Linked DNA regions of Oryzias latipes. The protein of the gene in region 1 interacts with the protein of each later gene in a pairwise test. Links are inferred from orthologs where the notes say so. Each region holds a gene or a part of one and is shown in the gene's direction. Other genes may lie near its edges.

Region 1 (3,651 bases):
AAACTTATCCCTGGTAAAAGAAATGTATATTTTTTTTAAGTTTTAAGAGAACAGTTGGAATTATGTTTAAAAAAATGTGACTTTTATATATTTTGTGTGTGTCAGCTCATGTCATAGCAAAGGCGGAGGGTCTGGCCATCATCTCTGTCATCAAAGCTGGCTTCATGATCACTGCCAGAGGAGGCAGTGGAATCGTCATTGCCAGACTCGCTGACCGAAGTAAGACTTTTTCGTGGAGTTTTGGACAGACTTCTGATGCCGGCTTATGAATCGTTTGCAGACATGTCTGTAGTTATGCTCGCGTCAGTTTTATCATGACCCAATCAGGACTTTAAGACTAATGCCATGAGTGTAAGACAGTCATTAGGGGTTTGTAGCTCACATGAAAGCTCACCCTTAAGTTTAAATGGTGGCAAGTCATTTAAAGTCTTAAAATTACTCTCAACAGTCTTAAATCTTTTTTATACTGTACTGTGGATACAAGATTAGATAGTTGCTGGTGACTAATGCGTCTGATAAGGCATACTTTGAATGCATAAACACAGAGGAGACGTATTACCGCTGACATACTTTCACTCTTAGGCTATTCAGCCTGAACACATTTGCTCAGCTTAAAGTGAGGTTACTCGGTCTGAAAGTCCGACCCGGAGCGAGCAGTTGTACCAAAATGAACACTGTAGCTGATGTAAGCAGAGTAGGAATGCAGCGACAGAGTAGCCGTGGACAAATATAAAGCAACAATTTTTGTGTTATCAGACAAAAAAATAGGATAGGCTTTTTGTGAGAACGTTTATTTTAACATGCCCGAAAGGGGTTGCTGTGACGTCATCTTAAAGCTACCTTTATACTTTCTTACAAATTCTCTTTTAAAAAAATGTCATAACACCACAACTGAGACAAAGCAACTCACTGAAATTTGATCAGATTAATTCAGAAACTTAAATTTTTAACATAATACAAATAACTACTCACTGTTTCCTGACAATCATATGTCATAAACACTTATTAGCATACCTTCTTATCTGTCTTCTTGCCAGTAACCGCCCTACAGCATGACTCCACCAGACCAAAAAGCGAGTAAAAAATGTTGAGCCTGATGTTGATGCAGACTTCCAAAAGTTGTGAGCGAAATATTAAGTTTGAATGAACTAAAAGCGCAGGACCTCCATAATGCCTCTAGTTGCTCTGCCCCACCCTCGTAATTCCTGACCAATGAGTAAAGAGATATTTAGTCACATGGTTTTGTTTACAAGCTTTAGCCCAGAACAGGAAAGTTCCCTTGACGGCAGTCAAACACAAGGTTCAGGACTCGAATCTGGACCAAATTAAGCTGATTGGGTCCGGACCAACAGATTTTTCCAGTCTGAATGAACCCAAAGTCTTATTAATACAGGCTCGTCTTTAATGAGCTTTTGTCTGCCATAAGAAGCTGTTGCACAGGCTTAGTTATCTAAAGAATACCCGTCATGCTGTATCATATTAGATTCTGCACCAAAAAAAAGAAGCGTGAAGTGGCATGGGCTCACCAGAGCTTTAAAAATGGTAACGAAGTAAAGTTGAAAGCTCTGCTGGGTCCACCCACATGTGGGACAGAGGTGAAGAGGCGTGTGCAAGCAGGTTGGAATGGATGGAGGAAAGTTAAGGTGTGAAGAGTGTCAGCAAGAACGAAAGGAAAGGTGTGGAAGACTGTGGTGAGAGCAGCCATGTTGTTGGTTTGGAATGTTGAGGATGGATAGGATCAGGAATGAGTCCATCAGAGGAACAGATGATGTTAGATGTTTTTGGAAATAAATGTAGGGAAGCCGATGGAGATGATTTGGGCAGGTTGAAAGGAGGGACAGTAGGAAAGAGGCCTGGAGGAAGACGGTTCATGGACAAATCAAGGAGGACATGAAGGTGTGAGCAAGGAGGAATTGGGGACAGGTTTGAATGGCTGGTTCGCTAAAGGGAGCAACAGAAAGAAATGTACGATTAAAATATATCCCATCTTAAAACCTAAAAATATGGTGCATTTGTTTCTGTTGATGCAGAGATGTTTTTACTACACATGAAAGATTAATACCTGCATTGAGCAGGCTTTTGTATGAACAAAAGTTAAACTCTAATGTCTTTGGATGATTGGTTTCAGCCAAGCTTTGATCTTTTATAAAAACATAAAACCAGGTTTGAACATAAGCATTTAACAAGTTTGAAATGGTTTTCATGTTCAGGTTGGTCAGCACCCTCAGCCATCGGTATTGCCGGCCTAGGCGGAGGATTTGAAATTGGGGTGGAAGTGAGTACACCTCCTTAACTTTTGAGTGAAAAATCCCCTGAAAGTGTTAGATGATGTTGTTCAACGCCACACTATGTTCAGGTGTCGGATCTGGTGATCATCCTGAATCAGCGCAGAGCCATCGAGGCCTTCACAAAGGGCGGGAACCTGACGCTGGGCGGGAACTGCACCGTCGCTGTGGGACCTGTAGGCAGGTAAATTCCTGCCCCCCCCCCCCCCCCCCCCCCCACTAACCCTCTCCAATCTGTCTGCGTCTTAATTGCACCTAATGTGTAGTGTTGATGGAAATGACGGGCCTTGCTGTGATGACAGCCTGAGGCATCCACAGCAGCATTAGCTCAGATTTTAAAGGGTTGTCGTGATTTGGAATAAGGAGGGCGTTGTTGGGGACGCTCGGAGGGTTCTGGCTCCCATCATTTTGTGGGTTTTTCTTTCTGCCTGTGGGCGTGGCCAGATGTCTCATTCCTTCATGTTTTCTAAATAAGCTACTGACAGATAAGAAGATGCAACGTGTTCGTGCATGAAAACAAATTCTAATTATAGAAATTGCACATAAAAACAAAACAAAAATGGATCCATATGTTTTTTTTGTCTTTTATGTCAATGTTTGGTTATTTCATCCGGTTAATCGTTTGCAAAAATGTATCCAAATAACCAATCTAGAGACTTTTTTTGTAGTTTTTTTTGGTGTGATCCAAAAAAAATTTTTCATCCATTTTTATACTCAATTGCAGCACCCTTTGAAAACCTTTATGCTTTTTATTCTCACAACAAAATGCCATTAAATAATAGGTTTAGATTTTTTTTTACATCATTTTTTTGTGTTTAACTATTTTTCCGCTTTTTTAAAATAAAAACTGTATTTAAACCTTCAGTTTATGGAGGAGTCGACTCACAAATACTCTATAGACCTCCTTGGGCGTATTTGGAGAATTAGAAATGACGAAAATAAATTTACCCCAGAGTTGTGGTCTGCCACAGCAAAATAACAAGCTCTTTGACCGTTAACGCAATCAGCGCAATTCCAACGGATTCTGACAGCGGATTTTGTGCTGGTATGCCGCATCAGAATCAGTTGTTTAGGTTTATTGGGTAGACGCTTCACTACTGTATAGTGTTTTCTTTTCTGAGCTTTAGAATTTACTGGGATTGTGTAAGCTCTAGCAAAAGCTGACTTATTTTATTTACTTATTTTTGTTCTTTATTATACAAACTATCTTTTTTCACACTATAAGGCAAAAAACAACATTGCACCTAATAATCTAGATCGCCTTATATTTGAAAATGTGTTCATGATGTTAAAGCAATTTCGAAAGGTACACAGCGCTGATTGGGTGTAATCTTTCTGAAAATGCTAATGTGGCTAACGTGTAGCT
Region 2 (4,156 bases), on another chromosome or scaffold:
CATTTTTTTCTCATGATAGAGGACATATGTGAAGATAATCAACCTCAAAATTGCATTTTTGTGTATTTCTGTATTTAAATTGTTGTGAATTAGCAGGAAAAACGTTGTTAATGTGATGTAGAAACATCTACGGCAAGCCACTAGCTCCATTCTGATGCATCCACTTGTGGACAAACAGATCCATTTTTGCCATAGTTTTCCTCATCTGAGCTGGGATCTGGATCCAAACTGTCCGACTGGATAGCTCCAATATTGCTCCCATTTTTCCTTTGCTGCTCCGGTTATGTTAGGTTGGTAAGCTAGTGGGAGGGAGTGTAAACAGACGGATGATGGGAAGGATGTGGGGCTCACTTGCAGCAATGGCCACAACCCAAAGGTGGATTTTTAAATATTACTACCGCTATTTGGGCTAAAAACTGCCTCATTGTAAGTAATAGACCACCGGGAACATTTTTATAATAGATCAAAAGAGGATTGGAGTGGGACTTCTTTGAACTCTTCGTTACCAGTCCCAAAATTGAACATACTGGTTTGGACACCCTTTTAAGTCCTTACGTTTTTACGTTTATAATTTATGTTTTACTTGTATTTTATTTCTTCTGTGTGTCATATTTTTATGGTTCTGAGATTTAGAGCTCAAGTATGGAATAAATGTTGGTTTCATTCCTACATTATTGTATTTAACAGGAGAAAGCCAATAGGTTGTTAAAAAACATTACTGCTGATAGTTACTGTTTGTCATAATTCTGTAATCCCGTGCAGAAGTGTGTGTTTAGCCCTAAATGCTGAACTCAGCTGTGTTTGTCTAACAGCCGTCTTCTGCGCTGGATTTGCTCCGATCTGCCAAACCTTGGCTGGGTTCTTTGGGTTTGTTGCCTTCAATCAGAACCTGTTTTTTGTTTTTGTGGTCCAGTTTCTGGTCAGGCTGGAACGGCGGCCAGACGGTTTCACACAAATTCCTTTTCATTCAGTTGGAACAGAAAGAAAGAGGGTAAGACAAAAAAAAAGGGGGGGGGGGAGTGAAAAAGGGAGTGAGTCAGAGGACCAGGAGTGACAACAATCCACGGCCCACAGCTTTTTCAGTCGGATGCAAACCACCCCTTTATGCGCCATTCACTGTCTGCTGCCCTCCCTTCTCCCTGCCCCACCCTGTGGCCTCTGTGTTCTGGACTTGGGGGCAGTTCTTCAACTATAAAAGCCCAGTTTGTCCCCTCTGTGAGCCCATTCCCCCCGTCATGGAGAGCCAGAGAGTCCAGTCCTCCTACAGGAAGCGTTTCGGGCCTCAAGGCCCGGGCAGTGCAGGGGGAAGACTATCGTCCAGCCGCCTCTCCTGGCATGGAACCCCTCGAAACATCTCCATCTCCAGCCCCATATCCCGGACCTCCCTGGGCTCCTCTACCGCGGCCCTGCTGATGGGGAGTCCAGGGGATCGGCTGGACTTCTCCGCCGACTCCCTGCTGAAGGCCCAGTACAAGGAGACGCGCACCAATGAGAAGATGGAGATGATGGGCCTCAACGACCGCTTTGCCAGTTACATCGAGAAGGTGCGCATGCTGGAGCAGCAGAACAAAGTGTTGGTGGCAGAGCTGAACCAGCTGAGGGGGAAGGAGCCCAGTCGCCTTGGGGACATCTACCAGGATGAACTCAGGGAGCTGCGGCGGCAGGTGGACAACCTGACCACAGGCAAGGCTCGACTGGAGATCGAGAGGGACAACCTGGCTGCAGATCTGGCCACGCTTAAGCAGAGGTAGGTGTGAAAAAAGGTGGTTAGTGCAGGGTGGTGCTCAGAGATAACCTTTATCCTTTGTGTCTCTTGTTTGGAACAGAGCTGTGGTTAACTGAAAATGTAACTTTCAATTTCAAATTTCTGAAAAAATACCCAAAAATTAGAGAAACTTAACTCTTTTTTTAAAACACATTTTTATTTTCAAAGGATAAATTTGATTTCAAATGTATTGCTTTAGAATTAAGTCCAGTTTATCTGGATTAGGTTGGAGAAATCCTGGCACAGGGGAAGAAAACGTTTTCCTTTTTTTTAAATTACAAGAGCATTTATATGTAGATTCTTTTTGAGAGGGGGGATTTGTTAGAATGCAGATCTCCATGGTCCGCCTGAGCTTTGCTACTGGATCCCTCTATACAAGCCTGATCCCGACTGAACCCCTCGTCAGCCCCGAAAGAGTGTGGAGGAATGAGGCCAACACAATGGTGGCCCTGCACAAAGAGAGCAGCCGGGGAGATGTTCTTTGAAGCTTCGCATTTTTTCCTTTGCGGCTGCTTGAATTTATGCCAGAAGTTTTAGAAAGAATGACTGAAGGTCTGGGGGGGGAAAAGGTCTTCAGCACAGTCCTCTTTGCCCTCTGCTCCCTAAAAGACGGTAGGGTGAATAATGATACGGTGGCTGAGAGGGTCAGAGGTCACCTCTTCATTGATGCTGCTCCCATACCAAGACTACTCAGAAAACTCTGCATGAACCTATACAGATGTTGGAGTGAGATCGTTGCGTGTCTGTGTTTGGCAGATGGATTGTGGGGCGATGTCTGTTTTTTTAATTTTTTTTTATTTTGTGTCAATGTGTGTTTGCATCCTCCTTCCCGTGGGAAAGGCCTCTGGCTGTTAGGTCGCAGTGAATGTGTAATGATGCATAAGCTGCCCTTTCAGCTGAGCCTGGCTCCTCCTCCCCTGCACCACAAGGAGCAGCATTAAAAGCATAAAAGTAGCTGATGTTGTGTGAGAACAGAGAACGACGGGGTTATTTGATTCCAGACCAGGGAATCAAACATCATCAGGGAAAAGGGCAGCATGTGCACTTTTTTTGTTTTTTGCCCCTTAGACGATACAGAAATAAATATTTTATTGCACGCTGACAGCGAAATATGAGTTTTGAACGATGTACAAAAATGAATCGTATAATGGAAATAATGTTAATGTGAAACTCAGCCCTGATTCAAACCCAATCTTCTGGGGACCTCAAAGCAGGAACCTTCAGGGGGCCCCACCCCTGAGGATATTGATCACATCATTGTGATGTATAGTTGTGTCTGTCAATGGAAAGGAGAAGGAGATCGGAGAGCCTTTCTTCTTTCACCAATTTTAGCTTGGAGAAAGATATCTCTACTGTTGTTGTGGACATTGGAAAATGACCACAAGAACAGTAGATTAATCAACTAGATTAGCAGAAAAATCTGATTCTCCAACTCACAACTGGATGTTATGTGACGTCATTTCCATAAAGGGCAGGGGCTCAAGCACCTCTAGAGGTCCTGTGTGTGCATAGGACCTCTAGGGTAACGCCTGTTGAAGCAAATAGACTCCACTTGGGTTCCAAAATTACCTTAATTTAGCATCTACTTGGAAGCAAAAACACTAAATCTTTTTTTTTTCCTTAGCTGGAAATAAATTCAGAAATTAAGGGGTTCATGAAAAAAAGCTGCATTTAAAAGGTTGTGTCTCCCTTCAGAGAATCTGAAAGCGATCTGTTCTCTTTTGACAGGCTGCAGGATGAGATTGTGCAGCGTCAGGAAGCAGAGAACAACTTGAACGCCTTTAGACAGGTAATCTTTAGTGTCACTGCGTACATTTTGCGCATTTTAGCACATCTGAAATTTCAGTCTGTTTTGATTCGTGCGTGATATACGTAAAACAAAAGTGGCTTTTGCTTTGGTCAGTCGTCGATGTGCTCAGATGTCCAATGAGGGTTTCGATAGACAGGTCTTCACAAGAATTCGGTTCTGAGCTGTTCAAAATTTTGTTGCTTGAGAATGACGAAGTTTACGCATATTTTAGGAAGTTTACACGCAATTAGTACGTAAATCTTACACAAAAGTGCATGATTTTTGTGTGATGCATACACAATTTTGTGGCTTTCCACAACTGTTCCACTTGTGTCTAATAGTATTAGTCATACATTATGTGCCATTGAAGTATGACTTTTAAATCCTGTATACGGCGCATATATGTTAAAATTACGTAATTGACGCACAAATCACTAATAAATTATTTAGGAACAGCGCAACTTTTCTGAGTCCTCGTGTCGTTGTTCACGCAGGATGTGGATGAAGCATCTCTCAGTCGTGTCCAGTTGGAGAGGAAGATTGAATCTCTTCAGGATGAGATCAACTTTTTGAAGAAAATACACGAAGAGGTTTTTCAAAGC
Region 3 (3,651 bases), on another chromosome or scaffold:
TCATCCATTTGTTTATAGTCTTTCCCAATAGTTTACAGCCCCCACAACCCTAAGCTAATCTTAGCAGTGCAACAAAAATGGTGAACAGTATTTGCGTTATCCAGCCTTCCAGTTTTGAGCCAGATGCCATCTTGGACGAGTAAAAACAAAGACATAAATTGATCTATTTTTACATCACAAAACAAGCATTTTCTAACAGCATTTTTTCATCTGCTCCTGGTCGACAAAAAAATGAAATGCAACTTTAAGCTTATATTCCTTTTTATAATTGTCCTCCATCATAAGAAAAATGCAAAAAAGAACCCTTTAAAAACACCAAAAAAAAACTAATTTTCCTCAGAGCGTGTCTTTAGAGAAGGTACAGCCCTGAGAGGAACAGAAGTCTCACTTGTTTGTAGAAGATGAATACTTATTTTTTGTAGTTTTACATGTAAATAAATAAATTCTTCAAAACTCATACAATGTGATTTCCTGGCTACTTTTTTACATTCTGTGTCTCACAGCTGTAATGTACCTATGATGAAAATCCCAGACCTCTCATTTTTTTCAGTGGGACGATTTGCAGAATTTGTGACTGACTTTTTTGATTTGCATTTTTAGCTTAGCATAACATTATGTTTGTCAGGTACAAATATATCTCATTGTAACACTGGTCAAACATAATGTGCTAATGTTTTAGTGTCGTTGCAGCTACACACTTCAGGTCTCTGAGTTCTTATCTAAGGCTGGAGCAGGTGCCCCATCAACACATCATTTTGTTCATTCTCAGTTTCGAATTGTGTATCTCCAAGTCAGACATTCCCATTCACAAAATATTATTAATGATGCAAAGGTGTCCCTGAAGATTTGACTATTACAGCACACAAATGCAGAACTACCACAGTTCTGAAAGAGTGTCTCTATGTCCTAACTCAGTTATGTTGGGTGTCAACTTCCTAATTGACCCTTTTCAGGAAAGCTCTGACCTTGTAAATAATCCTCCTTATGCATGAAGAACTGCATTACTGAACTATTTTTGACTTCTTGCTCAAAAAGACAAAGCAATGGTCTTTGTATTCTATTTGAATCCTGAAAATCACAGAATGAAAGTCCCACACTAGCAACTTTAAAACTGGTAACATTTTTATTTAGTGTACAAAATAAAGTTTAGGACATTCTTTTCAAAAACCCAAAGGTAGCATTCTTTGACATCATTGCTAACTTTCACAATATATTTTGCTCCTCGATACATTTCCTGACTAAAATATAATTGAATTTGGAATTTTTAAATTTACCCTTGATTGGATTTTTATTTTTTAGAGAATCCAGAAGAGCTGAGTCTCAGAGCAGGAGATGTTGTGACAGGGGTGGAGCAGGCCGACGATCAGTGGTACAGAGGCACATGCAGAGGATCCACAGGTTTCTTTCCAATTAATTATGCTGAAGTTCTGGTAAGTCTTGTTTTTATAATTCCCTGTAAAAATACAGTCTCGATGTAAGGCTTTTAAAAAAGTAATATTTATGTCTTCAATCAGTCAAATTCACCTGTCCCTGAAAAGAAAGAGAAGCCTTCGCTTGCATCAATCAGGTACAGTTCAGGTGATGGTGAAACCGGTTATTTACTTATTTTTCAAAGTCCCGATGAGCTTTTTAAATTATTCCTTGCAGTGGTCCGAGGTGCGTGGCGAGGTTCGACTTTGAGGGGGAGCACAGCGATGAGCTGACCTTCTTTGAGGGGGATGTGATCCAGCTACAGAAGTATGTGGGGGAGGAGTGGGCGCAAGGGCAGATCGGCGCCTCGATCGGCATTTTCCCTTTGAACTTTGTGGAGGTCGTTGAAGATCTGCCGCCGCCTCCAACCCAGCAGTTGAACCAAATGTTTGTTCCAGGTGAGGGAAATGAGAGTGCTTTTACATTTTTCTACACAAATGTTTTTGTTCATAAGGAAAGAGCACTTTAAATCAAGCTCTGTGAGGCATTTGATTGACTGTTTGTCTTTCATTAGAGAAAGGTCTCCACCGCATGGGGGAGTTGATGAATGCATGACCTTGGTTTTTGACCCCACTCCTATAAAGTTGCTAAAAATAAAAACGTACAAATCCAGTTGCTAAACTCTTTCATTTTCTAGAATGTTTTGATTTATTTCTTTTTATTTTGCAATTATGCAACAATTCCCTGAGAAACGCTCCTACCTAAATACGTATCCTTTGCTCTTCTTGTTTCTTAATAAACTGTTCATTTCTGCAGGTATTTCTGCTGCTGCTGCCGCCGCCGCCGCCCCTCCCAACATACAAGCTGAGCCTGCCAAACCTGCTAAGGTAATATTTATGTCAGAGGACACCCCAACAAAGAAGATGCTGGTTATGCTGACTCCCAATACATTAAGTACCAACATATTTTACCTGTGCAACAAAGCTTGAGGGTTTTATTTTGAATTCCCACTGTTGTAAGCATTATTTTTGTGTATTTTACTACCTTAAAACCTTATTACAGCTGTGTGCACACAACTATCTAAATATAGCTCTGTGCATGTACAGCCACATTGTTACAGGATGATCCAATGTTTTTAAAGCTGTACATTTAGCATCCAAATTTTTGATACTGGCTGTTTTTTAATGTCTTCTAGATGGACAACTTTTCATGGTTTCTCTTGTTTGTGGACTCTCCTGTAGACTTCCAAACCTAACGAATGGGCAGTGGCCTTGCATGATTATGCAGCAAAGACTTCCAGCGACCTGTCGTTTCGCCAAGGTGACCGCATCCTCATGACCAAGCACTTGGATGAAAAGTGGAGTTGTGGCAAACTGAATGGCAGAGAGGGCATGTTCCCCCGGATTTATGTTCAGACCGTAATAGGTACACTGGGATCTAGCTTATTTGTAGGCCTGTTTTTAGAAAAAAAAGATCCTATTTTCAACATTTAACTGTTTTTATTAGTCAGTTAATTGTAATAAAAAAAAAAAATTCGAACTAAAATGTTCACTATTTTTTCCTATTTGTTACAGAAGAACAGCCCACTATTGACCTGAGAAGTAAAGCTGCTGGTGGAATGAGAGCAAGAGCTTTATATGACTTTAGATCAGACTGTGATGAAGAACTCTCAATTCAGGTACCTTTTTTTTTTCTTTTCCTGCAAGATTCTGCTGAATAAAAGCATCAATTCAAAGTCTTCTTTTACAGTTTGGTGATATCTTGACCAACGTGGAGTCTGTTGATGAAGAATGGTTTCTGGCAGACTTGAGAGGAAAAAGAGCTCTGGTCCCTAAAAACTATGTCCAAGTGTTACAATGAGGCCAAACACTGCAAAGATGTGGGGCTGAGTTGATGGAACATCTTTAAACTGCTGTCTATTAAATGTTTTGTAATCCTAAGCAGTTAAACCTTTTCCAACAGTAATGCATTTTAATGGTTTAAGTTATGTGAATTAAAAATAAAATGTTTACAAATGACTTTTTGGATTTTGTGGCTGCAAACTGATGTTGGAAGAAGGTAGATTTACATTTTAAGACCATAATGGCCAGTCTAGTTTTATATACCTAGTCTGATAGTTTTTATATTGAGTAGAGCTTACAACAACCCTGACAGTTTTAAAAGTCTACAAGATGAGTATAATTAAACATTTACAATTTTAGGGAGTCAAAAAAACTGCAGTACATGTTCTGTGCAAAGAAA

What was found.
Region 2: the proteins of sh3yl1 (region 1) and glial fibrillary acidic protein interact in binary tests that used the Homo sapiens proteins (3 or more experiments, as listed by UniProt). The two-hybrid records come from large-scale screens. The link is inferred for Oryzias latipes from reciprocal best matches to the Homo sapiens genes SH3YL1 and GFAP.
Region 3: the proteins of sh3yl1 (region 1) and sh3d19 interact in binary tests that used the Homo sapiens proteins (3 or more experiments, as listed by UniProt). The link is inferred for Oryzias latipes from reciprocal best matches to the Homo sapiens genes SH3YL1 and SH3D19.

Annotation. Positions count from the first base shown.
Region 1 is NC_019860.2:11,149,127-11,152,777, reverse strand, and holds part of sh3yl1 (SH3 domain-containing YSC84-like protein 1), read left to right. Parts: coding exon 1-13; intron 14-105; coding exon 106-219; intron 220-2,210; coding exon 2,211-2,275; intron 2,276-2,356; coding exon 2,357-2,469; intron 2,470-3,651.
Region 2 is NC_019866.2:4,110,137-4,114,292, reverse strand, and holds the start of glial fibrillary acidic protein, read left to right. Parts: upstream 1-1,205; 5' UTR 1,206-1,235; coding exon 1,236-1,747; intron 1,748-3,493; coding exon 3,494-3,554; intron 3,555-4,048; coding exon 4,049-4,144; intron 4,145-4,156.
Region 3 is NC_019859.2:19,163,535-19,167,185, reverse strand, and holds the end of sh3d19 (SH3 domain-containing protein 19), read left to right. Parts: intron 1-1,299; coding exon 1,300-1,430; intron 1,431-1,514; coding exon 1,515-1,567; intron 1,568-1,647; coding exon 1,648-1,868; intron 1,869-2,226; coding exon 2,227-2,297; intron 2,298-2,651; coding exon 2,652-2,835; intron 2,836-2,984; coding exon 2,985-3,088; intron 3,089-3,159; coding exon 3,160-3,270; 3' UTR 3,271-3,428; downstream 3,429-3,651. UniProt on the Homo sapiens protein: May play a role in regulating A disintegrin and metalloproteases (ADAMs) in the signaling of EGFR-ligand shedding. May be involved in suppression of Ras-induced cellular transformation and Ras-mediated activation of ELK1.